Linked DNA regions of Coturnix japonica. The protein of the gene in region 1 purifies or fractionates together with the protein of each later gene. This does not show direct contact. Links are inferred from orthologs where the notes say so. Each region holds a gene or a part of one and is shown in the gene's direction. Other genes may lie near its edges. The genes, in order: PPP2R2D, PPP2CB, SERTAD4 and IER5.

Region 1 (7,483 bases):
CAGCTGCCTCACTCTCATGTATTCTTAAATCAGTCATAGAAGTGGAGATCTGAATACAGAGTCTAAAAATAGCATATTCTGAAACACAGGTTATTTTTAGTCACTGTATATTTCAAATGAATGTAGATAGCTCCATGGTTTGGCTTTCCTTTCTGTGTAATTCAGAGATAGAAATCAGATTTATATCAAGTCTTAAACTAAGGAACAGTGCAATGTTAGGAGAGCTTAGACGTTACAGTAACAGCTGTACCAGTCCTGGGCCATCCGAACTGCAGAGTGGCGTTAATCTTTTCCCTTGACTGTTCTTACAGCCGTAGCATGAAGAATTTCTATGCAGCCAGAAGCAAATGAGTTAAAGGTACAGGAAAAAAGAGGAGATGCAGAGGGTAGAAGTCAGTGATCAGAAACCTGCAGAGGCCAAAGCTCTGCTGGCACTTGGCTGCCTCAGCAGATGGAGGACAGGCTGCTTAGAACCTTGCTGCCAGATCTGTGCTTTTCCTTTGGGATGGCTGTAACCATCTGAAGGTGAAGAGCTGTTAAACCTTACACTGTGCATCTGTAACTTGTTAAGTTCATTGTATTGTCACTGCCTGTTGCAAAAGCAATTCCTGCTCGTTCTGCTCATCTTACAGTTCAGCACATCACTGGGACATCCCACCTTGTGATTCTAAGTTGGTTTAGGAGCACGTAGCCTGGACTTATCCCCTTCTGCGCTCTCTGTTTCATTCCCATCGACTGTGAGACGCCACATGATGTCTCTGTCTCCCTTCAGCTGTTGCACCACAGGCTCTGTGGAATGATGGGCCCAGGGGAGAGCAGAAGGTGTGTCACCTTGGTCTTGATTTCAAGCACAGCAATGCTCTGCTTATGTTTTGTTTCCTCTCACAATCTCCTTTATGGTTCATGCCAGCCACCTGGCTGTGGTCCAGGTCCAGTCACTTCCTCTCAAAGCCAGAGCCATTCTAGTGTCACAGTCCCTTAGAACAGTTGATTCTTTGGGTCTCAGAACGGATCATGGACAAAGACGTGTAGTAAAATACTTTTCAGGAAGGGGAGGACAGGATGTGGATCTGCTGCCATTTCTGTTGCTCTCTAAGTTGGATGTGAAGATTTGTTACTTAAATTTCCACTGTAATTAATGATTAAGATCCCTTAGAAGTTGAATCAGCCTCCTTTTTAGGTAATGATTGGAAATAGAACTGTTTCACTTCCTCGTGAGGCCCCATCTGGAGTACTTTTCCAGGCCTGGGGCCTTTGGTGCATGAGGGATGTGGAGCTGTTGGAGCAGGACCAGAGGAGGAGCACTAAGATGAGCAGAGGGTTGGAGCCTCTCTGAGGAAAGGTTGAGGGAACTGGACTTGTTTAGCTTGGAGAAGAGAAGCTCTGGGGACACCTCATTGTGGCCTTCCAGTACTTAAAGGGAGCATATAAACAGGAGGGAGAGTGACTTTTTACATGGTCTGATAGTGACAGGGCACGGGGGATGACTTTAAACTAAAAGAGGGCAGATCGAGGTTAGATGTTTGGAAGAAGGTTTTTACTCGGAGGGTGGTGAGGCATTGGAACAGGTTGCCCAGAGAAGCTGTGGGTGCCCCATCCCTGGAGGCGATCAAGGCCAGGTTGGATGGGAGCCTGGTGCAATGCGTGGCAGCCCTGCCATGGCCAGGGCGTTGGAACTGGGTGATCTTTAAGGTCCCTTCCAACCTAAACCATACTACGATTCTGTGATCATCCATTAAGTGTGAGGAGCAGGATTTTGCCAAGAGTCTTTGAATAGCTTTTAAGAATGGGAGAAGTTGATGCTGCTTGTGCCTCACTAGTGTTAGTGCCAAGCAAGATCCAGCTGTACAATCATTCAGGGGGCTTTAAGCTCGTTGTCTTGGCTTTCAGCTTTAGGAGCAGTAAAGTTTTCTGTTGTTAACGGGAGCAGCACTATGCAGCCAGCTCAGAGAAGTTCATGGTGGCTAATTTTAGACATCCAGTTTGGATGTCTGAACAGCCCAGGCCTTGGTATCAGTGTCAGAAATACATCGTATGATTCCTTTGTAGGATCAAATTAGTCTGTGGGCCCAAGCTCGCTCTCCTCTAAGCATAACAAAAGCTGCCCTCTGACACTTCATCCACCTTCACTCCCAGTGTAGCAGCCCAAGATTTTGGAGGCCTGTGTTCAGAACACCCCATGACAGTCTACATGAGAGAAATTATTGATAGTTTATTCCTTTTCTGAAGCCATAATGAAAAGTGTTTTGCACAACTTTGGATTGATGTGTTAAGGAGTCATTGGAACAGTTGCCCAAGGAGGCTGTGGGTGCCCCATCCCTGCAGCCATTCGAGGCCAGGCTGGATGTGGCTCTGGGCAGCCTGGGCTGCTGTCAGTCTTGGTGTAGAGTTTAGGACGACACTTGCAGCTGGCTCAGCTTTGTCATCTTAGCACAGAGCTCTGTGCTGCGTTGTGATATTTGGTATTTGTAACTGAAAGCCTCGTAACCAGCCAGCCTGTAATAGCTTGTAATTTATACATTCAGACAATTCAAGCAGCCATCGGGTCAAAGCAAACATGTAATTGTGGAAATAATTAACACGGATCAGTATTAATGGCCAACAGTAAAATGAGCAACATGCACAAAGAGGAGGTTTTTGTTTGTGGGTTTGGGGATTTTTGGTTGTGAGAATTAAAGTGGCACAAGGTGATGTGTGTATTATGGTGACCAGCTGGAGCTGGTGTGGCCGGGGCTGGCTGGGAGGTGTGGAGGGCAGAGGCCCTAACCCTGTCACCTTCAAAGGCTGTGGCCTGTAGTGGTAAATACTGCTTGTTTTCTCAGGTTTGGTTCCAAGGGACCTTAATGCACTCTAACCTGGAGGTCCTGCAGTCCTTTCCTTCAGCAGCTGTCATCCTTGCCTCTTGTTTGTTGTATAAAAGCTGGTGTTGGTTTAGTAGGCTGAATTGACTTTTTTTTCTTCTCTTGTTTTTCCTTTGGCCAATTCAGGTTCCTGAACTAAGTGTATCAGTGGTGAGCACAAGGAAGGACAGGCCTGTTCCGACATGGCTTTGGGCACTGTAAGCTGCAGTGCTGCTCTGAAGCAGCACTGCAAATGGAGCACTGTGGGGAGCTCTGTGCTCCCCTATGTGTGCCCATACTTACTGGAGATGGGTAGGACGCAGTTTGGGTTCTTCAAACAACAAGCTGCCTCTCATGATTGAAGGCTCTCAAGCTCAGAACATGGAGAAATGAGAGGATGTTTTAAAGTGTAAATGAATAATTTTTGATGGGGTTTGAAACAATTTCTGGATAGCAGTGATGTAAATCAATTCTTTGGGCTGTTATATTAATGCAGATTGTAATTTTGTTTTCAAGTTTTGAAACATCTTGATTTGCTTTACGCATTACAGTGCATTTTATTTCTGTTCTGTTCACAGCTGATATTATTTCAACAGTTGAATTTAATTACTCTGGTGATCTTCTTGCAACAGGAGACAAAGGTGGCAGAGTGGTTATATTTCAAAGGGAACAAGAGGTCAGTGACATGAAAAACAAAAGTGCTGTTACTCCGCTGCTCTTGTGTTGCACAGTCTCACTTCATCTGCTCATGCTGTGAAGGTTGTGTGACTAGATAAGTTGCTCAGGAAACCCAAAGTTAGCCATGTATATACCTGCCTTGTACTGAACCTGGGAGGTCAGCTGGGTGGTGGTTTCAGCCCCTCGCTGCTTTGAAAGAAACACCCCAGAAATACAGTAAATTCCTCTATGTAACTGTTACGCTCAGTATTGTAGATCATAGAATCACCAAGGCTGGAAGAGACCTAAAAGATCATCCAGTCCAACTATTCACCTATTACTAATAGCTCCCACTAAATCATGTCCCTCAACACAACATCCAGTCTTTCCTTGACCTACCATTGGACATTCTCACGTTGATCTAAGGCACATCCTATTTCTTTTGAAATGAATATAAGAAAACAAGTTTATAAGGAAAAAGAATACGTGTGGAGCTGCAAGGACATCAGAATGTGGCAGTTCAAATAGTGAAGAATTAAGCATCTGATGTCAGTGGGAAAATATGGGCATTTCTGGTGCAGAGATGAGGATTTGAGCCTTTCCCTGGTTCAGAATCCCGCTTCTTTCATTGTATAATTTGAATAATGCTTAATGGATGAACTGTCCAGTATTTCATGTTTCATCCTCACTGTTCACAAAACATTTTCCCATTTTAGCTCATCAGTTTTATTGCAGGCTTTTCAGAGGTGGTGAAATGAAAACACTATTGCTGAAAAGCTGCTGAAATGTTACACTGCTGCACCTAGATGGCTCAGTGCTCATTTATCATTTAGTCTGCTGGATAGACTTAACTAATGCACACAGACCAAGGTCAGAAGTGGCCACCTGCTCGGGATCTCTATCTTTTTGATACTAGTTCAGCATGGAACTCATATTGTTTTTGTGCTCAGTTGTTGTGTAAGTCCAAACCCAGCTGTCACATCACTTCCTCTTAGCATTACACAAGTCACACTCGTCACACAGCAATATTTGGGAGGACGTGGGCTGCAGGGAAGCGATGGACGTGACAGGATTTCATTCTCTTGCCACATACAAAACTGCAGAATTCCTGGAGAGGAGGAAGTCACGTCTGAATCAAATATGTCTATAATACTACAAACTTAATGAAATCTCACAACTGTTTCTTTAAACAGTGTCATTTCTTTGACTGTGTTAGTAACAACCAAAGATAGTTGTAAGATTTCACAAAGGCTTCGTGTTGGGAACGCAGGCTGAAATGTTGGGCATCATGCCCTGAACTCGCAGGGCATTACATCAGTTCCAAGAAGCTGATGTTACTGACACACTTGGTTGGAACATAGTGAGACCAGTGCCTTGTACTGGACAGGACAGCCTGAGCAAAACATGGGTGGTTGGGTAAGTAATGGACATAACTAAAAGTAGAGAGGATCCCATCTAAAATGCATAGAAGTTAAATGACGGGGAGAAAGATCAAGTCTCAGAATGAACTGACTGCATATTTGTTAGAGATTGTACTATGTCCATATTATGTTCATTAGGGGAACAAGTTTGATGAGGTGCAGAAAATAAACACATGGATTTTATGGTTTAGGATATAGGGATGTAACTGATTTCTGCTCCAGTTGGTTTGAAAGTGCCTGGGAGCAGCAGTGCAGGCAGCGTGCTTCTGCCAGGTGCTCTCAAATGAGTCAACAAATACGTATATTTAAAGGTGTATTTTTAAAAGGCAGTCTGCACATATTGTGTTGCTAAGATGCTTTACAGTAAAGGTACCAAATTCAGCAAGACCCATTGTAACAAGGTTCCATTCTAATTGACAATTTATAGTCTTTACTTTGTATGTAGAATTCCTAACAAACTGGGTAACATCAGCTTCAAGAAATTCTGTGTTTCCTTACAGAATAAAAGCCGTCCTCATTCTAGGGGAGAATATAATGTTTACAGTACCTTCCAGAGTCACGAGCCTGAGTTTGACTACTTGAAAAGTCTAGAGATCGAGGAAAAAATTAATAAAATCAGGTGGTTGCCACAACAGAATGCTGCTCATTTCCTGCTGTCTACAAATGGTAAGAACACTATTCTTGCAAAAGCCACTTATTGTGTGTCATTTGAATATTATTGGCTGTTTCGTTTTGATGCATCATGGAGCAAATTGTAAATCTAGTGCAGAGCAGTGCAGGAAGAAAGCACACCTTGCTTTTGTTGACACATGCACTTGTTCCTAAGGTTTTGGATCTCCTTTAGCCTTGTTCTTAAATGATCTTATATACAGGCTGCTATACAAAACTCCAAAAGCAGGAATGACTTCTGTCTATGGACCAGGAAATCAAGTTAATCTACTTTGCTTAAGTCTTGCTAGACTCAAAGCAGCCTTTCAGCTGTGTCATCTTAAATGATTGTTTTCATTCCTTCAGGTTTGTCTGTTTAAAATCACTTAGATAGCAGTTCAGGGCTCATTGCTGGGTTCTGGTGATCAGCATATCCCTTGCAGAGGGGTATTAATGCCAATGGTAAGCTGGCTGCTTTATTGATCAGGCAGAAACTTGTATTATTTTTTAAGCTGAATGTTACATTTGAGTTAAAATGAAACCTGAAAAATGTGAAATGAATGCTGATTGTTTCCCTTCTTTTTACTGATACTTTGAGGTGTTTCCCATCCACACCCTGTAAGCGCGTGCTTCTTGTTTATTTCTAATACACTAATTCTGGTAACTAATGTAGCCAGAGGCAAAGTTCTTCACGTCTGTGCTGAGAGCAACACTCTGCTCAGCCCCATACGCAGGGATTTAATTGTGGAATTTGGTTCATTCTCAAGGATGTGAATTTTTATTGATTTTTTTTTTTTTTTTTTAGATAAAACAATCAAATTATGGAAAATCACTGAAAGAGATAAGAGGCCAGAGGGGTACAACTTAAAAGATGAAGATGGAAGACTTAGGGATCCCTTCAAAATCACAGCACTGCGGGTACGTTTCTGCTTTTTGACTTCAAGTATCTTTTCTGCATGTAGTTCTTTACCTTCATATTACCAAGGTTGCCAACTGAGATGAGAAGGTAGAAACGATGTTTTGGTACCTAACTAAAATATCTCCTTCCAGTAGGTTGGTTCTTGTTTTGTTTTTCTTGCTGTTTTGGAATCTTAGCAGATTTTAAATAGATTTAAAATCAAATACTTTCAAATGAAATTATCTCCTTAGAGACAGCATTTATCCAACTCAGTGTATTGAAATGGTAGAAAAAGAGATTGGTTGGCAGTTCCCTGTGAAGCTGGCAGGTAGGGTCAGTGTTTGGCTTTAAGGTGCTGTGGATTTAGGAAGAGTTAAAAGTGAGTTTAGGAAGTGTTGATAACTTCATTTTTATATTGTGCTCTCATTCGTATTTATTTTCAAGGACAGGGCTGCTGTTTGAACAGAGTGCTGGGTAGGCTACAGGAGCTGTTTTAGTTAGAGGTCAGCTTGGGGCACTTGGAAAGCCTAATGAATACTTCTCTAGCCTTGGTATTTTTCCAGTTTCGTGGTGGTGTAATGGCAGGTTGGTGCCCCAGACACACGACCATTTAAAGCAGGAGCTCAAGAAAAGCAGTCATATGGGGGCAGGGGATTTTCAGTCTCTATTGTTGTTGTTGCTATAAATAAGAATTGAACCAAGGCTCTCTACTTTTATATCTAGTGCCTCTCTTGTCTCTTGTAGGAATTATACTGTTGTGGTTTTGTGTTGTTGGTTTGTTTTTTTTTTCCTCTTCTTTTCTTAAACTGACTATTAAGTGAAGATTGTAGGTATTCACCAGTATAACTCACTGTCATGGTGGGAAAGATTACCCACTTCTTTTGGGAAGTGTCTTTTATTTAGCATGTGGGAGCCAATGTCTGATGGAGTATTCCAACTAACATGTCTGCAGCCAAGGAAACCGATTATAAAATGCCTTGGCTGGAAGTAGATACAGATGAAATTTGGGCTTCTCTAGC
Region 2 (8,238 bases), on another chromosome or scaffold:
CAGCAGAGACATTTTTAATTTCTTTCCATAGTTTAGAACTCTTTCCCAAAAGTGTTTCCCAGCCCATGTGAATGACCTTGAAATGAGTCAAGTTTATCAAACAAATTGTGCACTGCAGGAAGCAGTCTCCAAATGCACACACACCCATGCACCCCTCAATGTGTATGTGCATGTATGTGTGTGCGCATGTACCTACAGACAGAGTATTTGTTTCCCCAGCCGTTCTTTCTGTGGTTTTATTATTATTGTTATTATTACTGTTATTATCATTTCGGGGTGGGGGGGTTGATTTGTTTTCAGGATATTAACCAAAAGGTGTTTGAAATTCATGGCATGAAAAACCCTAAATGTAAATCTGAGTACATTGTGATGCTGATTAACAGATTTTTCTGAAGCTTATGTGATGCTCAGTATTTTCCTTAGGGAGTTTTGTTTAATGTGAGATCATTGTTCTGAAGGATGTTGGTCCTACTGGAATCAAACTAATGGAAATAAAATGCATGTGTTACAAGTGTAGAAACGGTGAAGAATTAAGTGTGAACTTACTGTACAATACCGATTCTGTTTTCAAACGATCTGTTTCGCTGTTCAGTAGTTGACATATAAAAATGCAGATGTACTGTAATTTAGCACTTTTTCAATTGACCCTGTTCTCACTATGACAGAAGTAAGGAGCACTTCTGTGGCTGTCAGGACCCATCTCTCCTGATGTGCGGACCCTGTGAAGCGCGTCAGGGAAGGGCCGAGCCTTTCATCCTTCCTGCACATTTTGGTACCAGAATTGGCCAGAAGGAAAGGAAAGTGTGAGAGTCTCTTAGTCCCCTAGTGTTAACAGGGTGCAAAGTGTTACATGTTCCGTACTGTACTGAAAGGGTTGGTTGGTCAGTGACTGTATTGTACTGTATGACAACGCATAAATTGCCTTGTATTGTTTCTAATGGACTGTACCATGTCCCCCGTGGATCTCCATGTCCCTAGTTTTCCAACAATGACGCATGTTATCAGTTAGGTCCTACAACTCTGTGGTGCTAACTCTCCCATACCTGATGGTGCTTCTGTGGACACTAACTGAGGACATGCTGGCCAGAGCTTGAAGTTTCACAGTATTTCTCCTCTGTTTGTACGAAGTGAACACACACACACACACTAAATGATAAACTTGAATTTGTTTCAAAGCATCATTGACAATCTAATGTTTTCTATGTGTGCTTTTATTTGGGATGGCTTTTCCAGAAAGCAGCTCTCTCCCCCTTGGCTCACAGCCACCCCTGTGCTCCAGTAGGCAGTCCTGTCCCCTTTCTCCATGGCGAGCATGGGGCCAGGATTCAGTGTGACTCCTCTGCCTTTGGAGGTGAGCTGCTTCCCCAGCAGCTCTCTGCATGCTTATCTGTGCCTAAAAAGGACACCTGTGACCACTCCATCCCCAGGTAGGTGAGCACTGTGGTGCTGCTCCAGCTCCTCCACAACCAAAAATGGAGTCTGTGGCAAGAATTGGCTTTTTACCAGAAGGGAGGGAACTACTGAAAGGGAGCTGGAATTCCAACAGGCACCTCTGTCCTGTGGTGGGAGAGCCCATGCATGCAGCCCTGCTGGCAGAGGAGTCAGTGCTGGTTCTGGAGCTTCATGGGCAGACCTTTCCCATCCCAAGCCCCCTACACAAGCTGCTTTTTGGACAAAACAAAATCTGAATATATTTTATATCTATTTGAAAACGAAGTCTGATATTTACCCCTGTTACCAACTGAATTTGCGTATTGTTGTTTGCCACAATATTTGTTCTGTCTTAAAATAAATTTGCTTACTTGTGTAGTCTGAACTGTCTGCTCTAATTCTTGTTGCCTGATGCACGGTGCAGTTGTTTCAGGGCTCAGTCACTCAGAGCTGGCTTTACAGTGTCTCCCACGTGGGAGCTTCCTGTGAGAGAGACATAGAAATGTGTCCGTCTGTGAGGGGCAATAATTTTAACCAAGACCCAGAATATAAATCTGCCTCTCGCATCTTCTCCCCAGGGCTTTTCAACCTTATGTCCTCTTTCACCAGTGTTTCATAATTACACCCTTCAAAATGGTAAGTGCACAAGAGAAGAATCGCTGCATTTCAGTATACTTAACAGTTAAGAGATAAGACTGTTATTAATGTTTCCTGGAGGCTAAGTAATTTCTGATGTTGGTGTTTTGCATTTTAGAAAGAAATGATTTATTGTGATGAACTCACTGAAAACAGCAGCCAAAAGCTGTGGACATCTAATGATGTTCACAGAAGGAGACCTAGCAAAATCTTTTCTTCCTCCTCAGAAAGGCAGACAACACCGTCTTGGTTTTTCAGTACCATGCATTAACAAGGCATTTGCATTGGTTACTAGAGATGGTACAAAGGAAGGCAGCACTCACAAGTGGTTGCAAGCCTTTTTTCCCATGCATCTTCAGGTACAGAATCCAGTCTGTGAGTAGATGAAATTAAAGGAACAACAGTGCCCATTTCTGCCTCCCTGTAGCCTCAAATGGGAGGCAGCAAGTTCTGCTCAGTTCCTGGGAGTGCCAAGCATCCTCACACCACCCTGAATAATGTATATTTGTTTCCTCAGATGATGTATTGTGCCCCATCAAGTGCAACCACCCAATACTGCCTCTCCCACAAGTGTGCTGGGACTCAGCAGAGCCGCTGCAGAAGAGGTGTGCAAGACTGTGTCAGGTGCTAGGGGTACCAGGGAGAGCCCATGCAGCATGGGGGGTGAATGTGAGGGCTGTGCTGTGCACGGGTGATATGCAGGGAGGAGATATAGGAGCGCTGGAGTGAATACCACACCAGCAGGACCCTGTGGAGGGTTGGGTGACTTCTCTTAGGCACATACCTCTTTCCAGCACGTCAGCATCAACCTCAGCACTGCGTGGAGCCATCCGGTCCAGGTGGAAAACATCTTCCAGGTGCATAACACAGTGGGGCTGAAGTTACACCGCCCTGGTGTCCTCACCAAGGACCAGGTGGAAGCATTACAAATGCTTTATGGATCTGGTTGCTTAAGTCTTAATTTACGAGACTGAGAAGTAGAATTCCCTCAGGGCTCCCTTTTGGTGAGATAGTGGGAGAGTCCCAGTTGGTTTCAGCGGTCCAGGGGCTCTCTTGGCTGAGTCTTCCAAGCTGTTCACAGCTCACAAAAGGCATCATTTATGAGTACAGAATGGCAGAGGACTTTTAGGAGCAACTAAACAAACTGTATTTGTGTAAATACATGACTCCCTTTGACTCTGCTGAACGCACTTTCAGTTGCACAGCTCGCTATAGGCGCACAGCGCTCTAACCCCTTTGACTCCCAGCTCCACCTGAGGGACGGACCGTTACGCCCGTCGCGAGGCGCCGCGCACGCGCAGTGCCGGAGCGGAAGCGCGGGCGGGGGCGGCGGCAGACGGAAGTGCGCAGGGCCGGGGGCCGCCATTCCGGGAGCGCAGCAGGCCGCGCGCCCCCGCCGTTGCGCCGGCAGCCTCAGGCGGGACCGGGCCTCGCGGGCGCCCAGTGCGGGGGGGGCCCGGCCCCGGCCGGCAGCGCCGCCATGGAGGAGAAGAGCTTCGCCAAGGAGCTGGACCAGTGGATCGAGCAGCTGAACGAGTGCCGGCAGCTGAGCGAGAGCCAGGTCCGCAGCCTCTGCGAGAAGGTGAGTGAGGCGGGGAGAGGCGGCCCGGCGCTGGGGCCGGCCGTGCCGAAGATGGCCGTGCGAGGCCTGGAGCTGCGGCCGGCTGGAGGGGGCTCGGCTGTGCCTCGGGGCCGGCCGTCGTGGCCCGCCCGGCGCTGCCCGCATGGCGGATCACTGCGAGAAGCGCCGGCTGTAGAACGGCGCCGAGCCGGAGCGCGGCCGTCGGCCCGCAGCCGTGGGGAAAGCCCTGACGTGTGATGAGGGGCAGCGGGTGGGCTGTGCTGCCGCCTTAAAGACAGGCCTACGTTGTGGGGAGGGAGGCCGGGATAGAGCAGGAAGTGGTTGGAGAGGTAATATAGTTTGCCGCAAAGAGCCTTTTCTCCTGTCAGGAGACAGGTTTGGGTGGCTTTTGTCTGAGAAGTTAAATGCCTGTGTGCGAGCATAACCATCCATACTGCAGTGTATAGCTGAGCTAGGATCTGCTTGAATGTACGAGCTGTGACAAGGCCAAGGAGCTGAGGTGGGCTCAGCACAGCAGCTCAGATTGTGTTCTCTATGTACCTCAGTGACAGCAGGGACTATTGCCGTGCACTGGATCAGCTGGTAACTGCTCTGCCTCATGTGCCTGACAGCTAGTTCATTGGTCCCTGTACTGTTTGTATTGCTGATAGCGAGCTAGGTTTTGTGTTGTCATTACCTGTGTCTCACTGAGCTCTTGCAGAAGCAGGTGATCTGTTGTGGTGCCTGTTCCTGGCATTCTGGCCAGTGGCAGCTTTCAGAAGATGGAACTATTTCTTTTTTCTTTTCCCCCCAAGTCTTCAGTAGGCCACCGCAGCAATAGGTTTGAACAGTAGAGAGAGCCTGCACCACCGCCTTATAGCATGCTAGGAGTGCCCTTCAAAAGGTAGGAGCTGAGTGTCACAGGCAGATATTTGTTAGAAGTCAAAGCCGTGGCTGCCTGACATACACTTTTACTAGTAGTCCTGGATTGTCTGGCTGCACACTGGCCTGTTTCTCCCATTCTGTTTTTTTACCCACGCTGTAACTGCCCATTTGCTTTATGGCTTTTTCTGCACTCACCAAGCTGGGACAATTGTGAGAAGGGCTGGTGCTGCAGCAGGGAGCAATTGAAGAGCCTTGAGATGTAGATGTCTTCAAAAGAGTGAGCTTCTTGTAGCTGTGCTGTCGTTTGAAGTCCAGCTGATGAGCCTGAAAGAATTGATTTGCAGTTCAGAACAGCAAGAGTTCTGAACTGCTGCACCAACCACCAAGCTGCTAAATAATAATAATAATAATAATAATAATAATAATAATAATAATAATAATAATAATAGTAATAATTCCCTTCTTAATTAACAGCAAAGCCAAAGAAGGAGCTGTGGCTGCTGTGCTTTCAGAAGCTGGATGGTATGATCAGTAGGTTGTATTGCAGTCAGTGGCTGCAAAGCAGGGAGAGGTGCCAAGTGGAGAGCACAGCTGCAGGTGAAAGGAATGTCAGTCCTCCAAAATGACGGGTAGGATGTGAACCATGCGAACCTGTGAGGCACAGCATGTTTGCTCGGAAATAAATGTAAGCTATTGGAGCATCTGGTTTTCAGGTAGCGTTGGTAACTGATCTGCAGCGCTGTCAGAAAGCTTGGGTTGCTTCCCCAAGATAATACTTGGAGAAACCCTTAACAACCTTTCTGGTCATATGCAATAGTAACTCTTGCTTTAGTTTTTAAATTAGTAATAGTATTAGGTGGTTAAAATGGGGGGGCGGGGGGGAAATAAAATAAAAAAAATACTCTGAAAGTTTTCTATGAAAGCATGGGATACAAAACCAAATTGAGTCCCAGACTTACCTGTGTGTATCGTTCTTGGTTTCACTTGCTGGCCTCACAGACAGTGAGGAGGGAAGGACTGGAGATAGTTGGCTCACACAGGGGATAGCAGCTGTTCTTCTCTCAGAAAGCTTTTGATAATTGCACCTGTAGAATCACTGTAAATTGATCTGCCTGGTTATGACATAACTGGCAGCTAATCCATCTTAGAGTCTTTGTAGAATTAATCAAGATGTCATCTGGTGATAACATTAAAACACTTCCTGTTCTGCTGCTCTTAAAATGAAAACTAAAGTCATGCTGATATTTAGTATGTAATAGAAAAACAAACAATTATTGTCACTACTGGAGCTTCCAGGCACCAGAAATGTTTCCAGCCCATCAGGGAAATGAACATTAGGCTTCTTGCATCTCTTACTGTTTAACTTTATTATTGTAGATCATCTGAGTAGATGAAGGTTGTTAAAAGCCTTTTTTTTTTTTCCCCCATTAAATAGGCAGTGAGAAAATCTTTAGAGCTCAGTCTTGGATGCTGTCTGCACTTAATCAGAAGTGCAGTGGCACGTTTTGTATCCGTGGTTGTGCTGCCTTTGAATTTGGGTACTGACAGAAGGGTAGCACTTAATGCATGGAACTCCTTTTGATCCCGCGTGGGTACTGCTGCCCCTCATTACCTGCACTTTGAGCAGCTACAGCCAGGCTGAAAGACTGAGGAGGTGGATTCATTTTAACAGGAACTGCTCTCAAGGTTGGACGTGAAAAGCTTTAAATGCTGCTTGATTTGAGATTCAAGTCAAGTGAGCAGATTAATTCTGCTGATGAGGGAGTTGAGGCTTTAGTTATAATAAAGACAGTTTTTCATTAAGATAATAAGATACGGCATAAAGAAAATCCAGTTAAAGGCTGTTTCTTAAACACAGGCAAATGACTATCTATAGCCATCTATTTCTTTGTAGCTTCCTTATTTCCCCCTTCCCCCCCATCTTCGGTCTTCATATGTCTAAGAGGGGGGTAGAGACTTGTTGTTGTGAGCAGCTGGAGAGCTTTGTGTTGTGAAGTGGTGGGAGGAAAAGGATTCTAACCACTAATGAACACTTGCATTTCTTGTTATTGAAAAGTAATTGTGCACTGATTCCTCAAGCTGAGCAGAAGGAGCCAGTTGGTGCTTTAGGGAGTACTGCTGTTGCTAGCATGTACGTATGGCAGTTCTGCCCTCTGAGATTATTTTGCCCAGGAATAATTTTAATAGAATGAGCTCGTAGGCTCCTCTGCAGTAATTGGTGAAGTTAGTATGAGCAACAAAGCCAAGTTACATCCTGGATGCCATTCAAACCATGACACATTCTGAGAGTGTTATGCTGGATCACAGTCAGCAGTATTTTATCTCTTCAGTGATAAAGTTTATCTTAGCATATACTGGCCTGGATGGCTCTAGGAGTGTACATCCATATTGGCATCAGTGCTGCTGTTGGGGCTGTGGGCTGCCCCCTGCTATTGAAGGGCAGGGCAGCTCCAGCTCTCCAGCTCCCCTCTCATTTGGGGAGAATCCAGCTGGCTCTTGTCAAACGAAGCTGCTGAGGCACCTCCGAGATTTTAGGATCCTCAGCCTGTTGATGCTGTAGTTTAATTAATTGCAACTGGCAGAGAAATGAGAAACTCCATAACTGGTTTCTTGGATTCTTGAAGCAAGGGCCTCCAACAATCAAACTGAGGTTATGGCACAGTCAATGAATCTTCCAGAAGGAGCTGTGTTTCTGTGTTCTCAAAGGATCTTACATTATTATCCAGGGAAGACCTGATATTGAAAATCTGGATGGATCTTAATCCCCTCACCGATGGAGTCATCCTACACGAGTCTCAGAGACAAATCCAAGCAGTATGAGAGTTGATGTGTTTGATCATTAAGCCTCTCACAGAAGCTTAGTCTCCTGATGATCCTGACAGTAGTCTCAGGGCCTGTGTAAGATCTCCAGTTTCAGAGCAGTGTATTAAGAGATTGTGTTCAAGTCCTGAGACTGTTCAGTTTTTTCTTGTAGTGACAGCACAGTGACGTACTGGGATGTGTCCTCCAGCATCCATCCATGCAGATCAAGGGCTGGGATGGCAGGCAGCCTGGTCCTCTGATGGGAAGGAGAGCTAAGATATTGGCAAATTCACAGCCAACAAATAACCTGGTCTTCAGAATAATTTTGAGGGCAGACACTGTAAATATTATGCCTAGAAGAGAAGGAGCTTTTTGTTACTGTAACGCTGAAGTGCTGTAACGTGAGAGAAAGTACAGCAGTAACAGAGTAGCACAATCCTAGGCTACAGCAAATGAGAACGAGCCCAAATACAGCAATCACGGATACAGAAACAAGGGAAGAAAAACTGCTTACCTTTCGAAAGCCTCCAGCAGGCAGGGATCTCCAGACAGGTACCCCAGCCTCCACTGCCAGCCCTTAAATGGGGTCTGGGAGGGGGAGGATCCTGGCTTCACCCCTTCTGGATACTCAGTCACATTGCATGCACCTGAGCTCCGCGGGTCGGCCCTGCCTTCCACCAGGTGCTCCATCACTGCTTCAGGCCCTGACTTAGCATTTCCACTACAGTAACTCTTACTCATTCTTACCTGGAGGATGGCTTTAATTCAGAACAAATGGAGACGTGGTTAGGAAGCTGATGTGCCAGAAATAGTAGGTCAAAGTGACTTTAATAGTTATTTAACAGTCTTCATAAGTAAATGACAGTAATGTAGGGCAGCTTACTCATATCAGAATTTTTTCCTTTGCAATGATGCTTTGATTA
Region 3 (8,147 bases), on another chromosome or scaffold:
CTCCAGGCACCAAACTGCCCCCAGCCCCTGTGCAGTGCCAAGCTGTCCCAAAGGTAACCCAGCAGAGGAGCTGTCACTGCAGCAGGAGCAACGCTCACCACCAGGATGCTGAAGTGCTCTGCAAACCTAATGGAATATTTGGGGGAAGGTTCAACCTCTACTGCCACACCACCAATGTCCACCTCCGACACTGTGGGCCAACATTATGAGATAGGACAGCACAGATGCTGTTCTGCTAGTTCAAATCCAGCATGAACTGGATGTTCCAGGTGCTTTCCCACCTACCACAGTGCTGGTCCTTGTTGTCAGAGCCCTGATTCAGGGATCACCTCTCGTTCTCTACTTCTGCTCACTATGGTTAGGCTACCCTGGTACACCGTGAGTCCCTGGCCCCACAGCTTTATTCACAGCACTGCTGTGACTCCACGTGTATCCAGGCCCTTTAATCTCCCAGCTCTGTGACTTCCTCATCCTCGAACTTCTGGCACATCAAGGCATGCTGACCAGCTGGGCCATGCACTCCCAACATCCTCCTCCCATCCACTGCTGCAATCAAAGCCTCCCCTCTCTCCTCATGACAGGCGCAGTCATCCCAAGTCCATTCCCTGTTCTTAATCCCATCAGACCCGCAGTATCATCCTAACAGGCATTCCATATTTGTTTTTTTGTTGTTGTTGTTGTTTTGCTTTGTTTTTTTCTAGAGACATTCTGGATGTGCATAAAAAGCCCTTTTCACTGCCATCCCATCGGGCTTGTTATGTGTGAATGGCATCATTACAGCTCTCTCATTAACATCACAATGACTGCAGAGGAACACACCAGCAAATGGAGTAAAGCAGTGACTGGGAGTAGTTGCACTGTGCAGTTGTGTCCTTGTGAAGCAGTGCACTGTGAAGTTGGACACTTCAACCTTGGGGCCGCTGTAGTGCCTTGTTGTGACAGAATGGCACCGGTGGTGGTGGCAGCGGGAGCTCACGGTGATGCCGCAGGCATCCGGGGCTCCCAAATGGCTTTCCAGAATGGGATAAAGGCCCGAGTGTTGGCCTTTCACTGTGATTTTGTATGGCAAATGCATTGTATGCACCAGTGTGAATCTTTCGTCCTTTATTTCCAGTGGTGTTAATGGCAGTGGAACAATGCACGTGCTGTTCTGCACAGTCTCTCTGAGTTGAATAGGATTTGTAAAGGAGACTGCCTCCATTGCCTACAATAACGTGACCCAAACGGGATGAGCCAGTGGGGATATGAAGGGCTCTGGCTCTGTTTGCAGCCCTGACCCCCATGTGCCCATGTGCTTTGACTGAAGCACTCAATAGGGGACTGGGAGTTCAGCCCCTGGCCCAGCATCACCCTGGCACTGGCTGTGACCTTCCCAGCCAGATACCGGCACTTCTGGAAGACCAGTGGGCACATGGAGCCCTTTGGAAGGCTGCTGCTCTGCCTGTGTGCAATTCCTTGGCTACAAACAGGGCTCACTAAATACAAAACGAGCCCTATTTTGCAGCCAAGCGGCTTTGCAGAGCGTGCAGGGACTTAGCAGCTCGCTTCGGGATTTGGGCTTTATAATTTTTCCTCGTCGGGAAGCTCGGTTTTTTATGTCTTGTTTCTGTTCCATCTGAGTGCACGGCAAATGCACACGGCAGGCAGCTGTCAGCGGGAGGTGGCTGCCCCGCCTCGGTCCCTGCTGTGCACGGCAGAAGCAGCCCGGCTGCTCTCCAGGCTGTCCAGAGCAGCCTCTTCTTCAAGACAAATCAGCAGCTCTGTGCAGAAGGCATCCCAACACTTCCTTTCTTCCTTCCCTCCCGTGTGTCTGCTGAAGCACAGAAGCACCCGCAGACGATGAGACATATAAGAGAAAGCACAGCCAAAATTCTCGACTTCGAATTCATTCTCATAAAACAATCCCACAAAGGGATGCTGAACCCATCAATAGGAGGGATCCTGACCTCCCCCTCGCGCAGCACTGAGCTGCCCCCAACCCTTATTCCTAGAGGGCGGGTGCCGGGTTTCAGCGTCTCCCCGTGGGCAGCTCCGTGCCACAGACTGAGGTGCCCACGGGTGCTTCTAAGGGCAGCAGAACGCTTTGGAACAAGAAACACACAACCCGCCCGGCGGCTCTCAGCAGCTCTCGCCCTGCATTCAGCCAGCGCGGTCAGCCAGCGTTCCTCGTGCCAGCGCTCCGTTGGGAATAGAAGGTGCGAGGGGTGCGTGGCCCACGTTGTGCTACCGGAGCTGCCCGTGGGCTTCCCATCCCCGCGTCCGCAGTTCTTTGCCCAGGCGCGGCCCGATGGTGGCAGATGCCGATACTACCTTCCCCCTTCCCCCGCGGTGCGCAACCCGGAGCCGCCCGCGGGGCACCGCCACCTGCGCGGCCCCGTCCCGCCGCGGGGGGCCGAGAGGAGGAGAAGGAGGAGGAGGAGGAGGAGGGGAAGAGCCGCGCCCGGCTCATTGTTCCGCGCTCAGCCCTCGGCCCCGCACGAAGTTCGCTCCGCAGCCGCCCCCGCCCCGCCCCGCCCGGGCCGCCCCCCCGGGGCCGCCAGCGGCGGCGCGGAGCCGCAGCCAATTTGGTGCCTGTGTTTTGCCTGGAGGCAGAGCCAGCGCGGCCCGAGCGGGGAGAGTGGAAACAACTGCCGGAGTCTGTGCTCCTCTCCACCGGGAGGGTGGGAGGAAGGGAGGGAGGGAAAGAGCGAGGGAGGGAAAGAGAGACGGAGGGAGGGAGAGAGGAAGAAAGAAACGCGATCCCCGCCGCTCCGCGCCCTCCCGCACGCCACGACACGCGCACCAGACCCGCGCCCGTCGGTGCCGGCGCGCCGTGCCAGCTGCGGCGGCGGAGGATGGGCAGCGACTGAGCGGGTCCGCGCCGCCGGGTGAGCGCCGCCGGGGCCGGGCGGGGGCGGCGGGAGGGGAACTCGGGGCGTGCGTCCGTCTGACATCCTACGGTAGGTGCCCGCCGCGGGGTCGGGGCGGCCAGGAGGAGGAGGGGTGCCGGGGCGCTCACCGCGCTGCTTCCTTGCAGGAGCCGGCGCCCGCCATGACCCTGGTGCTGCCCATGCAGCGGCTGGGCCGCCCCAGCGCCGCCGAAGGAACCGCCGACCTCGCCGCCTACCGCGCGCTCTGGGAGCCGCCCGCCTGCGGCCGCCCCGGCCCCGCCGCCCCCGGCCCCGCTCCGGTCGCCGCCGGTCCCCCCGCCGCAGGTAGGCGCCGCCGGGCAGCGGGGAGCGGGGCGGCCCCGCGCAGGTGCGGCCGGGCCGGAGCCGGGGGGGGCCGCGAGTCGCCCCGAGGGGCGGGGGAGAAGCCGCGGGATGCGCGGGGTCCGCGGGGCGGGCGGGCGGAGCGGAGCGTCCGATGGACGATGCTGCGGGGAGACGTGGCGGGGCCGCGGCGAGAGGGGAAACGGAAAGTGTTTTGTTTGGAGAACCTCCGGCAAACCGCATGTCATTTGTCGTGTCTGATTTATTGCCCGCAGGATCGCATTACAGGGGAATTTCAAATCCTGCAGCGGCATCCAAGATCGCATACTTTAAAAGGAAATATGTGGAAGAAGAGGATTTTCACCCGCCGCTCAGCAGCTGCGCGCACAAAGTACGTTTCCCGAGAGCCGCTATTTTTACCCCGCGCACCGCTGGGGCGCTCCTGCAGCCTGAGCACGGGCAGGTGGCCGGCACTCGCTGCGTGCCCCGAGCTGTGGGCATCGCGTTGCCCGGGCAGCCTTTTAGCCTAAATGCTCAGCTAACTTTTTTTCCCCCCAGATTCTTTTGTTCCTCGGTAGCTCGTCCCACGAGTACAGGAGTAGGGCTGCAATGCCACATGTGGGGAACGGAGCAAATAGGGCCCCGCTTCCCTGCTCATCCCACACCTTCCCGTGGGGAGGACACACAGCAGGTTCCCTGTGGGCTGCAGAAGAGCAGAGAGCTCTGCAAGCAGCACTGCACCTTCCATGGTTAATCCTGTTTATTAGAAAGCCAATAACTCCAAAAGAACAGATTAGTAAGGAAAAGAGTATTTTTTTGTTTTTTTTTTTTTAAACAAAAGCCATCAAGGGAGGGATTACAGCAAACACTTTCCAGGCCGGTGAGTGCCTACACTGAAACCAGACTTTTTGGTGGGAGCTTTGGTGCTGGTGTTGATGAGCTGAGCACAGGGGTGGGGTGCTTGGGGACAGCGCAGGCCTTGGGGCACCCTGAGGCTCTGCACCCAAGGTACCTCAGTGCAGCCATGCACCTAAAGCTTTTCCAGCACCTCTGCTGCATCCCAGAGGCAACCTGAACGGAGCAGGTCCTGCATTGCCCAGTGCCTGCCGGGACAGCATTCAGGGCCTGCTTGAGCCCCATGCTGAAGAGGTACGGGTGGTTCTTCCCACATGCCTCAGGGCAGCTGAAGGAATTTCCAGCTACAGATAGCAGTGGCTGGGAATGAATGTTCAGCTGGAAGGTGGAGCAGAGCACTTGGTTTGCTTCTGGGGAGATGTGCACATAGCATGGAGGGTAGTGAAAGATGTCCTCTCCCACATGTTGCACTGATTTCTCTGTTCTGCCAGCTTTGTTCTTGGGTAGGTTGTTGGGTTCTGTATGATGATGAAGAGGAGGAGTGGTTGTTACCTGTTCCCTTCTGGTAGTATAAAGAAATGGTATTTGGACATGGACTTGTTGGAGCGCTTCTGGAGGAGAGCCACAAATACAGTCCAAGGGATGGAACCACCCTTAGGAGGACAGGCTGAGAGCTGGAACTGCTCAGCCTGGAGAAGAGAAGGCTCCAAGGGAGACTTGAGAGCAACCTTTCAGTATCTAAAGTGGGGCTGTAAGAAAGAAGGGGACAGACTCTTTAGCAGGGCTTGCTGCGACAGGACAAGGGGAAATGGTTTCAATCTAAAAGCAGTGAGATTTAGATCAGATATAGGGAAGAATTCTTTTTACAGTCAGGCTGATGAGGCACTGGCACAGGTTGCCAGAGAGGTGGTGGATGTCCCATTCCTGGAGACAATCAAGGTCGGGCTGGGGGGATGCTGATGACATCTGATGGAGCTGTAGGTACTCCTGTTCAGTGCAGGGGAGTTGGCCTTGATGGTCTTTAAGGATACCTTCCAACTTCCACGATTCTACCATTCTGTGATTCTACTGTAGCACGTTAACCTCTAGGCTTAATGTTTAGAAAATTACTGTCTAACAAAGAAGAGCTTCAGCTGCGAACTTGCTTGGAAACAGGGCCAATTTTTGCTTTTACGAGGTACTGTGCTGCTTCTGAGCCCTGCAGACAGGACCAGGCTGTGGAAAGAGCTGCAGGGCTGGGAGAACTGAATGGATGTGAAAAGCAGCTGTGCTCTGAGCGCTTTCAGTCCTCATAGCTACGACTTCCACTCTGCAAAAATGCTGTAACCATGTGGGAAAGGGAAGAACGAGCGAGCCACAGATGGGGGGGATTTAGAGCAACCTCTCTTTATGCTGTGCTTCTCTCCTCCTACACAAACCAAATTATTACTAAAAATGAAAATTAGTTAATGCTGCGTACAGTAGCGTGTGTTACCCCCTCTCTGTTTTGATTCCCGGGGCAGTGACTGCAGTGTAGAGCAGGGCCCCCCGGGCAGTAACCTGCTCCTGCTGCCAGTGCTCAGAAAGAGAGCCCCGGAGGGACTGCGGCAGGGGGAACCGATCTGTGGGCTCCTGGCCAGGATCCCTGCAAATCCCCGTCCTCTCTTTTGTTTCCTGACCTTGTCCCTGCCTCCCCACATTCCCACCGGTCCCATGGAGTGAGCGGTGTCGTGCACGGGCCAACAGCTGCTCTCCAGATGCTGCAGTGCTTTGAGATGGTTTCTCCCTGCCTCCCTGTGTGTGTTCCTATATGTGAGAGCGGCGAGCGAGGGCTTGGCAAATGGAGACCTCCTCACCGAGGGCCCCTTCCACCGGCTGTGGGTGAAATGTTCTGGCACTCATTGCTGGCCCCATCCTGGAAAGCTTTGCCTCTCCCTGCTGCAAAGAGGCTGTGGGAAGGACCTGTGTCTGGCTTCAGGGCTCAGTGGGAGCCCCACAGGGGATGGGACTGGGTCCATTCACATCAAAGAGCCCCCATCACCAGAGCAGAACAGTATGACAATTTTGTTTTAACCCCAGATGCTGAGAAAAAAACATGTTCCACATGGGTGTGCAGCATGGGAAGCTGATTTTAGTTGCCTGAGGAGGAGAAGGAGAAAGGCAGTGGCACAGAGTGAATACCCTGCTTCGTTTCCTTTCTCTTGCCTGGAACAAAGCCGGTTGACTTCAGTTCTGTATCTTCTCTCCTTTGTATTTTCAGACAATCTCAGTGTTTGAGGAACGGGCCCATATTCTTTACATGTCTTTGGAAAAGCTGAAGTTCATTGACGATCCTGAAGTCTACCTGCGGAGATCCGTCCTCATCAACAATTTAATGAAGCGAATCCATGGAGAAATCATCATGCAGAACAACTGGTGCTTCTCCACGTGCTCCTTCGGGGCTGCCTCGCCACAGGAGTGGTTTGTGCCCCAGGACTGCCCTTACCGAAAGCGTCTTCGGATGGCCAAGGAGGAGTATGAGAAGCTCCACACATGCTGCTTCTATCAAGAGTGCGGTGGTCATTACTTGAATCTTCCCTACTCGGTCAATGCCAGCACAGAAAATACTTCTTCCTCCTCTCCCTCCTCCTCCTCATCCCCCATTTCGTTGCCGAGCTGTTCCCAGCAGGTGGATTATGACATTGGCAGTGCCCCTTCTTACAGGAGTGACGAGCAAATACCTGCAAGCGAAATATTTGTCACTAACACCAGGCCTCATGCTAATCAGGACAAGGCCAAATTCACTGATGAGAAGGGCAGCGACGAACCTGAGCGAGACAGCGAGCCCCTAAACTGTGAACCTGTAAGAGGCACTCATACTTTTGAATGTAAAGGCAAATTTTATGACTATTTTGAGACTGGGTGTAATGACAAGAGTGATGTAAGCGAATCTTGGAAAAAATCCTTGCGGAAAAAGGAATCTTTACCAAGTAATAAAATGTGCTGCAGCAAAGGAAGTAAAATATGAGGCATCTTTCTTGCTCCATCGAAGCATGTGCGCTTGTCTATCAAATTTGTATTTTGAATGGATTTTTTATAGTTTTCTACAAACGATACAATCACGCCACAAACATTACGCGTAGTTTTAAATGACTGGGGAGCAGATTGCGTAGCACGGTGCTCCGATCTGCATCAGCGGGCTATTTATAAGTGTGGAGACTTCATAAAGAACACAGTTGCGTTGTCACTTAGCGCTGTAGTCTGTGCAGCTATGGTGTAGCTTTTGTTGCTGAAAATACCAATCAGCCAGATGGGGAAAACGTATCGTTGTATACATCGCTGCCCCCAAGAAGTCTGCCATTAATTAAGAAGAACCTCCATTATGTTTACGAAGGAATTAGAAGTCTGGTAAACAAATTGATGCTACCAGCAAAGGCGATGTGCTCCCTTCGACTCAGTGTTTGCTCTGACAAAGGACTGGCTACGGGGACTGGGTTATAAACTGTCCTTACGTGTTGTACTGATACTTCTGAACTCCTGGATTTTGATCTCCTGGATTTGGCGTCTTGTTCAACTGACAAAATGGGACATAGCATAAGGAAATAACCTGTTTGTGGGATCTTAACCAGAAACACAACATGCAGCTCAAGCACTTGCGCGTTGTCACCTTGGCTGTAGTAACTAATGGGGCTTGTTGTACCCCAGGGCAGGTTTTTTTTTTGGTGCCTTACTTTTTGTCTTAATTTTTGCCAGTGTGAAAATTAAGTATGAATCAGTGATACAGCAGGGATTAAACCTAAGCAGAAGAAAAAAAAAAAGCACAGGGTGGATCGACATTATTAGAAACCTTTAACCTTTGAAGTACTGAGTTCAACTTCCTATTCAAACATCTCTGTTCTTCCTTTTTGATGCTCAATTGCTTTTTGATTTGCCATCCTTAGGAAGGGATTTAAGAAACAATAGAGAGATGTCTCTTGTAAACAAGCATTCGATGCTTGAGTGTTTCTATGGCAACTGTCTGTTGCTGGGGCTCTTTTTTTTCCCTCTTCGTATAATGAAGTTCATGAACCAGTGGCATGTTTTATACTTTATTCTGTTTCGCATAATTTCTCTCTTTTAGATTGCAAAAGCATGCGGGAGTTT
Region 4 (7,001 bases), on another chromosome or scaffold:
GCACCAGGAGGACCAAAGGACCAGAGGAACAAAATACAGGAAGGTGGACTACAATAGAAGGGTTGTCTGATAGGAAACCCCGGACAAATAAATGTGTTCTTTCCCCAGGAAACCAAAGCCAATTTCATAAAGGACTGTAAGCTGTGGGGCCACCTTTTTCCAAGGGAAATGGCTGCCTGAAGGAGCTGATAACCATCTACATCCTTATCCAAACTCAGACAAGCTGTGGGTGCCCTAACTCTGGATGGATCCCTGTAAGGTCATGGATGGAGCCCTAGGTAGCCTGACTGGTAGGGGACAGCCATCCCACGGCAGGGTTGGGGCTCACTGATCTTTAAGGTCCCTTCCAACCTAAGCCTTTCTATGATCTCCCCGAATGGAAGAGGGGTTTTAACCTTGGAAAAACCCCTTTGCTTTCTAGTACGGTGCTGCGCTGTGTGAACGCGAGGCTGTGGTTTCCAGTGCAGGTACAGAGCACTCTCAGAAGCTGGGGGAGCCACTTCCCTTCCTTCAGCTTTAGGTCTGTGTTGCTTTCTTTGTTTCGCTTGCGTGTTGTGTTGGGTTGTCACCCAGCAGTGCTTAGTATTTGGGGATGTTCTCTCTGCCCTTGTCTTCAAACACAGATAACCCAGAGCAGATGGGAACCGGGGAGCATTACCTACCCATACCCAACAGCGGGAGGCTGAGACTGCATCTGTGTCAACCATTGATTTATCTAGGAGGGAAGAATCAACCCAAACGATGCTCAGCGTTAGATATCTCTTATCTCTGGCTACAAAACGAAGCCCTGTTTGGGAATGGTTGCTTCATCAGTGGAGCCTGGAGATGTCCTGGAGGTCCATTGTCACTTGGGGAAGCTCAGTACGAAGGGTTTTATCCCCTACCACGCTGCTGGTGTGAGAGTCTGTGTCCCAGGAGGAGCCCAACCCCCGAACCAAGAGAAGGGCGATGATGCACCGGGGAGGCTCCAGGATCCCGTGCTTGGAGGACACCTGGATGTCTCCGGGATCGCTCCCCATTCCTTCAGAGTATCTGCCCGGCTCACATGTGTTGACAAGGCGCAGTGCCGGCTGCCGGAGGGTCGGCGCCAGCTTGGAACAGGATCTGGGTAACCACATCCGCACTCGGCGACAGGTCGGGGGCCGCGCTGCGTGCCAGATGGCCCGGCCCGGCCCGGCGCTGATGGCAGCGGGACCCGAGAGCTGCCGGGACGTGACAAAGCGCCGTTCGCCTTATATTTCCGATAGCGCGAGGGAGGCGGACAGAGAGCTGATATGAGACGGCCATCGGGCCGTGGGCAGCCCGTGCCACGAGGCAGCAGCGCCAGCCCCCGAGCGAACTTCCCGGAGCTGATTGAATCGCCTATAAAAAAGCAGCCGTGTGCGCAGCCTCTGCGATTACGATGTTGTACCGCAAGCTGCTTCCTGTCCCGAGCCTCTTTTATCTCGCATTGTTTTCCTTTCCAGGTGGGGCTGCGGGCTCCCCGCCGCTCGGCCCCCCGGGTTTCCTGCTCGCTCCGAGCCACCTTTGTCTGCCGGCCCCGCTATTTCGGGAAACGGCAGCTGTGCCGAAGGGCTGCGAATTGTTTGTCAGCTCCTTTCCAGCCTGCCCAGATCACACGCGGACAGAGAAGCGGCCGGTCGCACCCTGCCCGCCCGGCTCCTGCCGGGGATGGATGGGGCGCTGCCCCTCGGCTGGGCCACGCACACGGGGACGCGGCACCTCCCCGCGTGGGAACGGGAGCAGCAGCGGCACGACGGGCGGACGGGTACAGACAGACAGACAACAAAGCCACCCCAAGGCGAGCGCTGACCTCAGAAGCTGCCATGTGACGCTGCCTCAAACTTACTAAGGCATGACATCAGCCTGGGAGGGAAAGCGGGGCTGCCACCAAAATACCGCCCGGCTTAAAAGGGCTGAGCTGGGCCGGACTTTCTGCAGCCACCCCCAGCCCTGCTTCTGTGGCATTGATTCTTACCGGGCTCAGCTGAGCACCAAGGGGCTCGTGTCCCACAGCACCCACAAAGAATCCCCGTTGTTTTCACACGCGGCTGGTCACAGAACCCAATGACAGCACCGAGGTGCCCCGGCCGGTCGGGCTGAGCACGGAGCAGGTCGGACAGGTTGGGATCGCTGAGGACAGCAGTGCTTGGTTCCCATCAGCAGGGTGGGAAGGAAAGCCCTGCTCTGCCCGGGGCTGTTCTCTGCAGCCCAGAGGCCGGTGCACTGGGGAGGGGGGTCTGAAGCCTTCTGAGAAGGGTCCCTGCTGGTTCTTTTCCACGCTCATTGAGTCCCAATGGGGACGGGCAGCCCCTGCACCTCACGTCCTGCCCTTCAATACCAAGTGAGGCTCTTGTTTTGGGTGAGAAAGGGAGAAGTGGGAAGTGCCGTCACATGGCAGACAGGAAGGCAGCAGGCTGAAAGCGATACCCTGGGCTGTCCTTTCACTTCTGCCCTCGCCCTCTTGCCCCCATTGCTTCCTGGAGCTGGGCTGGGGATAGAGGCAAGAATCAAATCCAAATTCACAACCTGGACAAAGTGAATCCAACCCCAACGTATTTCATGTATTCTACATAAAATGGAGAATAAACCCATCAAAGACAGCTGCCCCTTGTGTACTGTAAGGTACAAAGGGATGAAAGCTTCTCAAAGCGCTTTTTTGGCAGGAATTAGTGGCAGAAGACGACCCGGCGCTATCCCCGCTTGCCTTCCACTCCAGGTGGGCCCCACCAGCCTCTCTCTGGCATTGCCGCTTTAAGGGCTCTCTCCGCGGGGCGAGCGTTCGAACGCGTTACCCTGCCCCGCCATTGGCCGGCGCGCCGGCGGTTGGAGCGGCCGGCGGAGCGCTCTGATTGGTCGGCGCTGGGGCGGTATAAAGGGAGGCGTGGCGCGTGGGCACCCTCAGTCGTCGGCGAGAGCGAGCGGAGTGAGTGTGTGCGTTTGTGCGGCGGAGCGGATCGGCCCGAGTTCAGCCCCGGCTTCACCTCGGCCCACCCATGGAGTTCAAGCTGGAGGCGCACCGCATCGTCAGCATCTCGCTGGGCAAGATCTACAGCGCGCGGGGCCAGCGCGGCGGCCTGAAGCTGCACAAGAACCTCCTGGTGTCGCTGGTACTGCGCAGCGCCCGCCAGGTCTACCTGAGCGAACCGGGCTGCCCTCCCGAACCGCCCCCCGCCGCCTGCGGGCCGCCGGCACAGCCCGCTCCAACTTGTCCCGCCGCCTGGGCGCCCGCGGAGCCGGACGCGCCGAGGCTCGGGCGGCCATCGGCCGACGCGGACTGCGGCAGCTCCCGGCCGGCACGGCGCTGCTCGTGGGGCGGCTGCCGCTGCGGGGCGGGCGCTGAGGGGCCCCGCGATGCCGGGCGCTGCTGCTCCGTGCCCCCGCTGTGCCCCCGGAAACGGAGCGCCGCCGAGATGGAGCAGCAGGGCTCGCCCGTGAAGAAGCCGCGCAGAGAGATGGAGGAGTCGCCGCCGCCCCCGCAGGGCGAGCAGGAGGACATGGAGACGGGCAACGTGGCCAGCCTCATCAGCATCTTCGGCTCCAGCTTCTCGGGACTGCTCAGCAAGGAGCCGCAGGGCCGCCGGCGGCCGAGCCTCAACGGCAGCGAAGAGACGAACGCGGAGCCGGGGCAGATCTGTTGCGATCAGCGCGTGCTGCGGACCCTCAACCCGTGGAGCACGGCCATCGTGGCCTTCTAACCGCCAGGAGGGGCACGGACAGACCCGGAGCTGCCCCCCTCCTCCTTCCTCCCCCCCTCCCGGCCCCGCACGGAAGAACAGCGGGCAGCAGCACTTCCCCTTCGCCGGGCCCCGACCGTCGGCAGCCGCCCTGGGAGCGGCCCGACCCGCCCGGAATTCCCCTTCCCGATCCCCCGCCCCGGGGCGCTCCCAGCGGGGGATATTTTAAGCTTGGAAAGTATTAAATTTATTAAATAAAGTGTTTATTTTGGAAAGGTTTAGGGCAGAACTGTTACATGGTGCTTTTAAAAAGTGGTTATTGGAGAGAAGCAGAAGTTTACAGACGCTCCGACGGAAAGTCCTCGTGAGCCGAGGTTGTTAGGCTCGGGGATCCCCGGCCTTTGTTGTATAAAGGCTTAGGGGTCCCGTATTGGGGTAGGGGTGGGATGGAGGGGGGGTTTGTACAGTGTTCTCTTCGGTGATGTATCTCGTTTTGTATGAAATGTATTGCTACGTGTGTGACACGTATTAAATATTTTCGACTGTAGCGGCTGAATCCTTGTCTGTGGGGTGGGGGGTGGCAGCCAGGCACCCCGCGTTACCTCGGGTGGGGTAGTGAGGGGGGGTTACGTTGGGTTACGTTGGGTTTCTGTTGTAGACCCAACGTTCCAACCCGCTCCCAGCTCCAGGTCGATGGCTGTGGCTCAAAGTCCTGCTCTAGGGGCGTGTGAGCTGCCGCTGCCAGGCATAGGCTGTGCTCGGGGCTGCTTGTTCCGCTGCCAGCAGTCGTTCTCCTCGCCTCCTGTTTGCTGTTACTTGCGCGGTGGTTACGATGAGCAGTTCCTACTATTGCTAAGAACTGGGTTAAAGTTCCTGCTCGCATGGGTGGGGAGGAAAGCTTGGCCTGTGCTTCACAGCCACCGCGGAGCGCCCCGGGGCGTTGTAATTACATTGAATTGTGGGGGAATTTTTGTTCTTCAGTTTCTCGCTGGGATATTCACCGGAGGCTCCTCCGCTCCTAATTAACGATCCCTCCCACTGAGGACTCTGCTGTGCGCCCTTGGGAGATGCGACCCAAAAGTCGGGATGGGAGAGCCGGGCAGCGGGCTGTAAATGCTGTTAATTCTCTTCCAAACTGGTTGTCAGATGGGGAGGAGGTTCTTCGGCTCTGCTCCACCTTCTACAGGCGTTGTGCAACAGCCGGACCGCTGGCAAATGCCACGCTGCTGCTGCGGCTCCTCCCGGCTGGGTGACCTCCGGCTTCTCGCTTATCAGCTGACACGCGCTGTCCCCGAAGGACCCGAGCTGGCTCCGTGGGCTGCTGGAGCCGTCCCCGCTGTCGTACCGCAGCCACGTTGGACCCCGCAGCCTAATTCAGTGCCGGCTGTTGGGTGGGGGGGAGCTGGAGGCCGCTCCCAGGGCTGCGGTGACCCCGCTGGCCGCAGGGAAGGGCGGCTGCAGCTCCAATTGTTCCGGAGATACTTTGCATAACTGGCAGCAGGGCTTAGGAAAGTGCTCCGGGGGAGCTGGAGCAGCCCGATGTTCTCAGGAGCTGCTCGGGGGTCCCAGGATCTGCCTTTCCTCGCCTCCTTCCCTGCGTCTTTTCTCGTTCCTGTAATAACACTGACATAAACAAGGGCCGTTCTTCTGTTCCAGTGTTTCGGTCCTTGGAGTTTCCCTTCCCACGGTGCTGCGTTGAGGGCGAAGGGGTGGGAAAGGACAGGGCTGTAGGCTTGGGGAGGGGCTGGCAGCCCAACCGCACCTCCGTGCCAATGCTGCTGATGGAAGGAGTGCAAAAATAAGCCAGATAAAAATAAAACCTTCCATCACTTGGAAGAAAGGGTAACTCCTATGGAAATAGAGGGCCCGGACGGATGTGATCTAATGGCAAGATGACAGGTCCTCACCTCCTGGAACAGCAGTGGGGCTGTTGGGGAGCAGCTCCTCAGTGTGGTCTGGAGCTGAGGGGGCTGCTTTGGGCTTGGATGCAGAGCCCAAGGCTCAAATAAAAGGGCCGAACCCACACGTCCTGGGATGGCTCAGCCCTCTGAGAGGGGATGAGCATAGAGGTGGTTTCCAGGGTCCTATTGGGTGTCCCCCACGAGTGCTCCATCCCGGTGCACCCCGTCCTGGCCTCTGTCCGTGCCTCCCGGGCAGGGGAGGAGGGGGCAGGCTGTGGGCTGCAGCATCCTGCGGGGCTGTGTCAGCGCTCAGGAATCCGGGAGCTGCTGGGAAGGAGGGAGGGAGGAGGAGGGAGGAGGAGGGAGGCCGGGAGGGAGGCCAGCGCCTCGGGGCCGCGCTGCTGGGGCCTCTCCCAGCTGGGGAATGGGGGGGCACCGCACCGGTGGGGGCTGCTGAGTGAATGGAGAAGGGCGAATCCAGGCTGGCTGGGGTCCCCGAGGCAGGGGATGAACGCAAACAGCTTTCTTCTGGTTGTGATTGCTGCTACTGATAGGAAAACCCTGCAGGCCCCCCTGGCTGGGTGAGAGCAGTAATGAAACACAGAGCTGCTGGGGAGGGCTCCTTCTGGCTCCCAGCTGAGCAGTGTGTTGGTTTGGAGAGCCAGGGCTGGCCATGCATGGGGTGCAGGATGCTCCAGTGTGTCACCCCATGTCCTGTTCCCTTGATCTGTGCCTCTTCCTAGGGAAAGGCCCTTTTCCTCCTGTTCCTCATCTCTGACCTCAGCCTGTAGCCCTGGGGCTCAGCAGCAGCTCAGGACAGGTCAAGGCACATCCAGCCCCAAGCTGAGCTCTGTGCATGCAGGCACAGGAAGGAGCGTGACTCCCAGGGAGATGCTCCCCCTCTGCTTTTCCTGGCACTGAGGGCACAGAGCTGGCTGGGAACCACCTGCAGGAGGGGAAAAGGGAATGAGGAGGGAAACACAAGAGCGGATGGGGCAGGGGACAGGCAGGAAGGACACAGAGAGTGGCTGGGAGAGGCAGGAAGGGTGGGAGAGCAGGAAGGAGGGGAGTGATGAGGAGCCCCCGGTGCTGTGCCCCGTCCCCAGGCACACAGCAGGGCCCCCAACCCTCACTAGGCTGGGCCCTGGCTGGGGTTTTGTCAGCAGCACGTGGGAGGAAGTGGCTGTGAGAGCAACAGGGGACAGAAATCCCCAGCGGGCTCTGACAAGAGTGGGTGGCAGATCCACTCTGCCCTTTGAGCAGGCTGCTTTCTCCTGTTTATTATTCAAACCAGGACAGCACTGAACCCCCACGTGCCCAACTCTGCTGGCTCCAGGGCTGTGCCTGACCCGAGGCCTTGGCATAGAGCCATGTTCTGGGGAAGGATGAGCAGACAGATGGACATGTGGCTCTCACATCCTTC

What was found.
Region 2: the proteins of PPP2R2D (region 1) and PPP2CB purify together in Homo sapiens (affinity purification with mass spectrometry; 6 studies listed by BioGRID and IntAct, counting the BioPlex papers as one, with this or other methods). This does not show direct contact. The link is inferred for Coturnix japonica from reciprocal best matches to the Homo sapiens genes PPP2R2D and PPP2CB.
Region 3: the proteins of PPP2R2D (region 1) and SERTAD4 purify together in Homo sapiens (affinity purification with mass spectrometry; 3 studies listed by BioGRID and IntAct, counting the BioPlex papers as one, with this or other methods). This does not show direct contact. The link is inferred for Coturnix japonica from reciprocal best matches to the Homo sapiens genes PPP2R2D and SERTAD4.
Region 4: the proteins of PPP2R2D (region 1) and IER5 purify together in Homo sapiens (affinity purification with mass spectrometry; 3 studies listed by BioGRID and IntAct, counting the BioPlex papers as one, with this or other methods). This does not show direct contact. The link is inferred for Coturnix japonica from reciprocal best matches to the Homo sapiens genes PPP2R2D and IER5.

The regions. Positions count from the first base shown.
Region 1 is NC_029521.1:30,898,716-30,906,198, forward strand, and holds part of PPP2R2D (serine/threonine-protein phosphatase 2A 55 kDa regulatory subunit B delta isoform), read left to right. Parts: intron 1-3,418; coding exon 3,419-3,516; intron 3,517-5,418; coding exon 5,419-5,584; intron 5,585-6,371; coding exon 6,372-6,484; intron 6,485-7,483. UniProt on the Homo sapiens protein: Substrate-recognition subunit of protein phosphatase 2A (PP2A) that plays a key role in cell cycle by controlling mitosis entry and exit. Involved in chromosome clustering during late mitosis by mediating dephosphorylation of MKI67.
Region 2 is NC_029519.1:30,566,938-30,575,175, reverse strand, and holds the start of PPP2CB (serine/threonine-protein phosphatase 2A catalytic subunit beta isoform), read left to right. Parts: upstream 1-3,409; 5' UTR 3,410-3,547; coding exon 3,548-3,649; exon of another isoform or gene 3,650-4,837; intron 4,838-5,472; exon of another isoform or gene 5,473-7,668; intron 7,669-7,829; exon of another isoform or gene 7,830-8,238.
Region 3 is NC_029518.1:20,054,052-20,062,198, reverse strand, and holds the start of SERTAD4 (SERTA domain-containing protein 4), read left to right. Parts: upstream 1-2,779; 5' UTR 2,780-2,867; intron 2,868-3,016; 5' UTR 3,017-3,031; coding exon 3,032-3,194; intron 3,195-3,466; coding exon 3,467-3,582; intron 3,583-6,285; coding exon 6,286-7,032; 3' UTR 7,033-8,147.
Region 4 is NC_029523.1:5,893,117-5,900,117, forward strand, and holds IER5 (immediate early response gene 5 protein), read left to right. Parts: upstream 1-2,841; 5' UTR 2,842-2,996; coding exon 2,997-3,698; 3' UTR 3,699-4,225; downstream 4,226-7,001. UniProt on the Homo sapiens protein: Plays a role as a transcription factor. Mediates positive transcriptional regulation of several chaperone genes during the heat shock response in a HSF1-dependent manner. Mediates negative transcriptional regulation of CDC25B expression.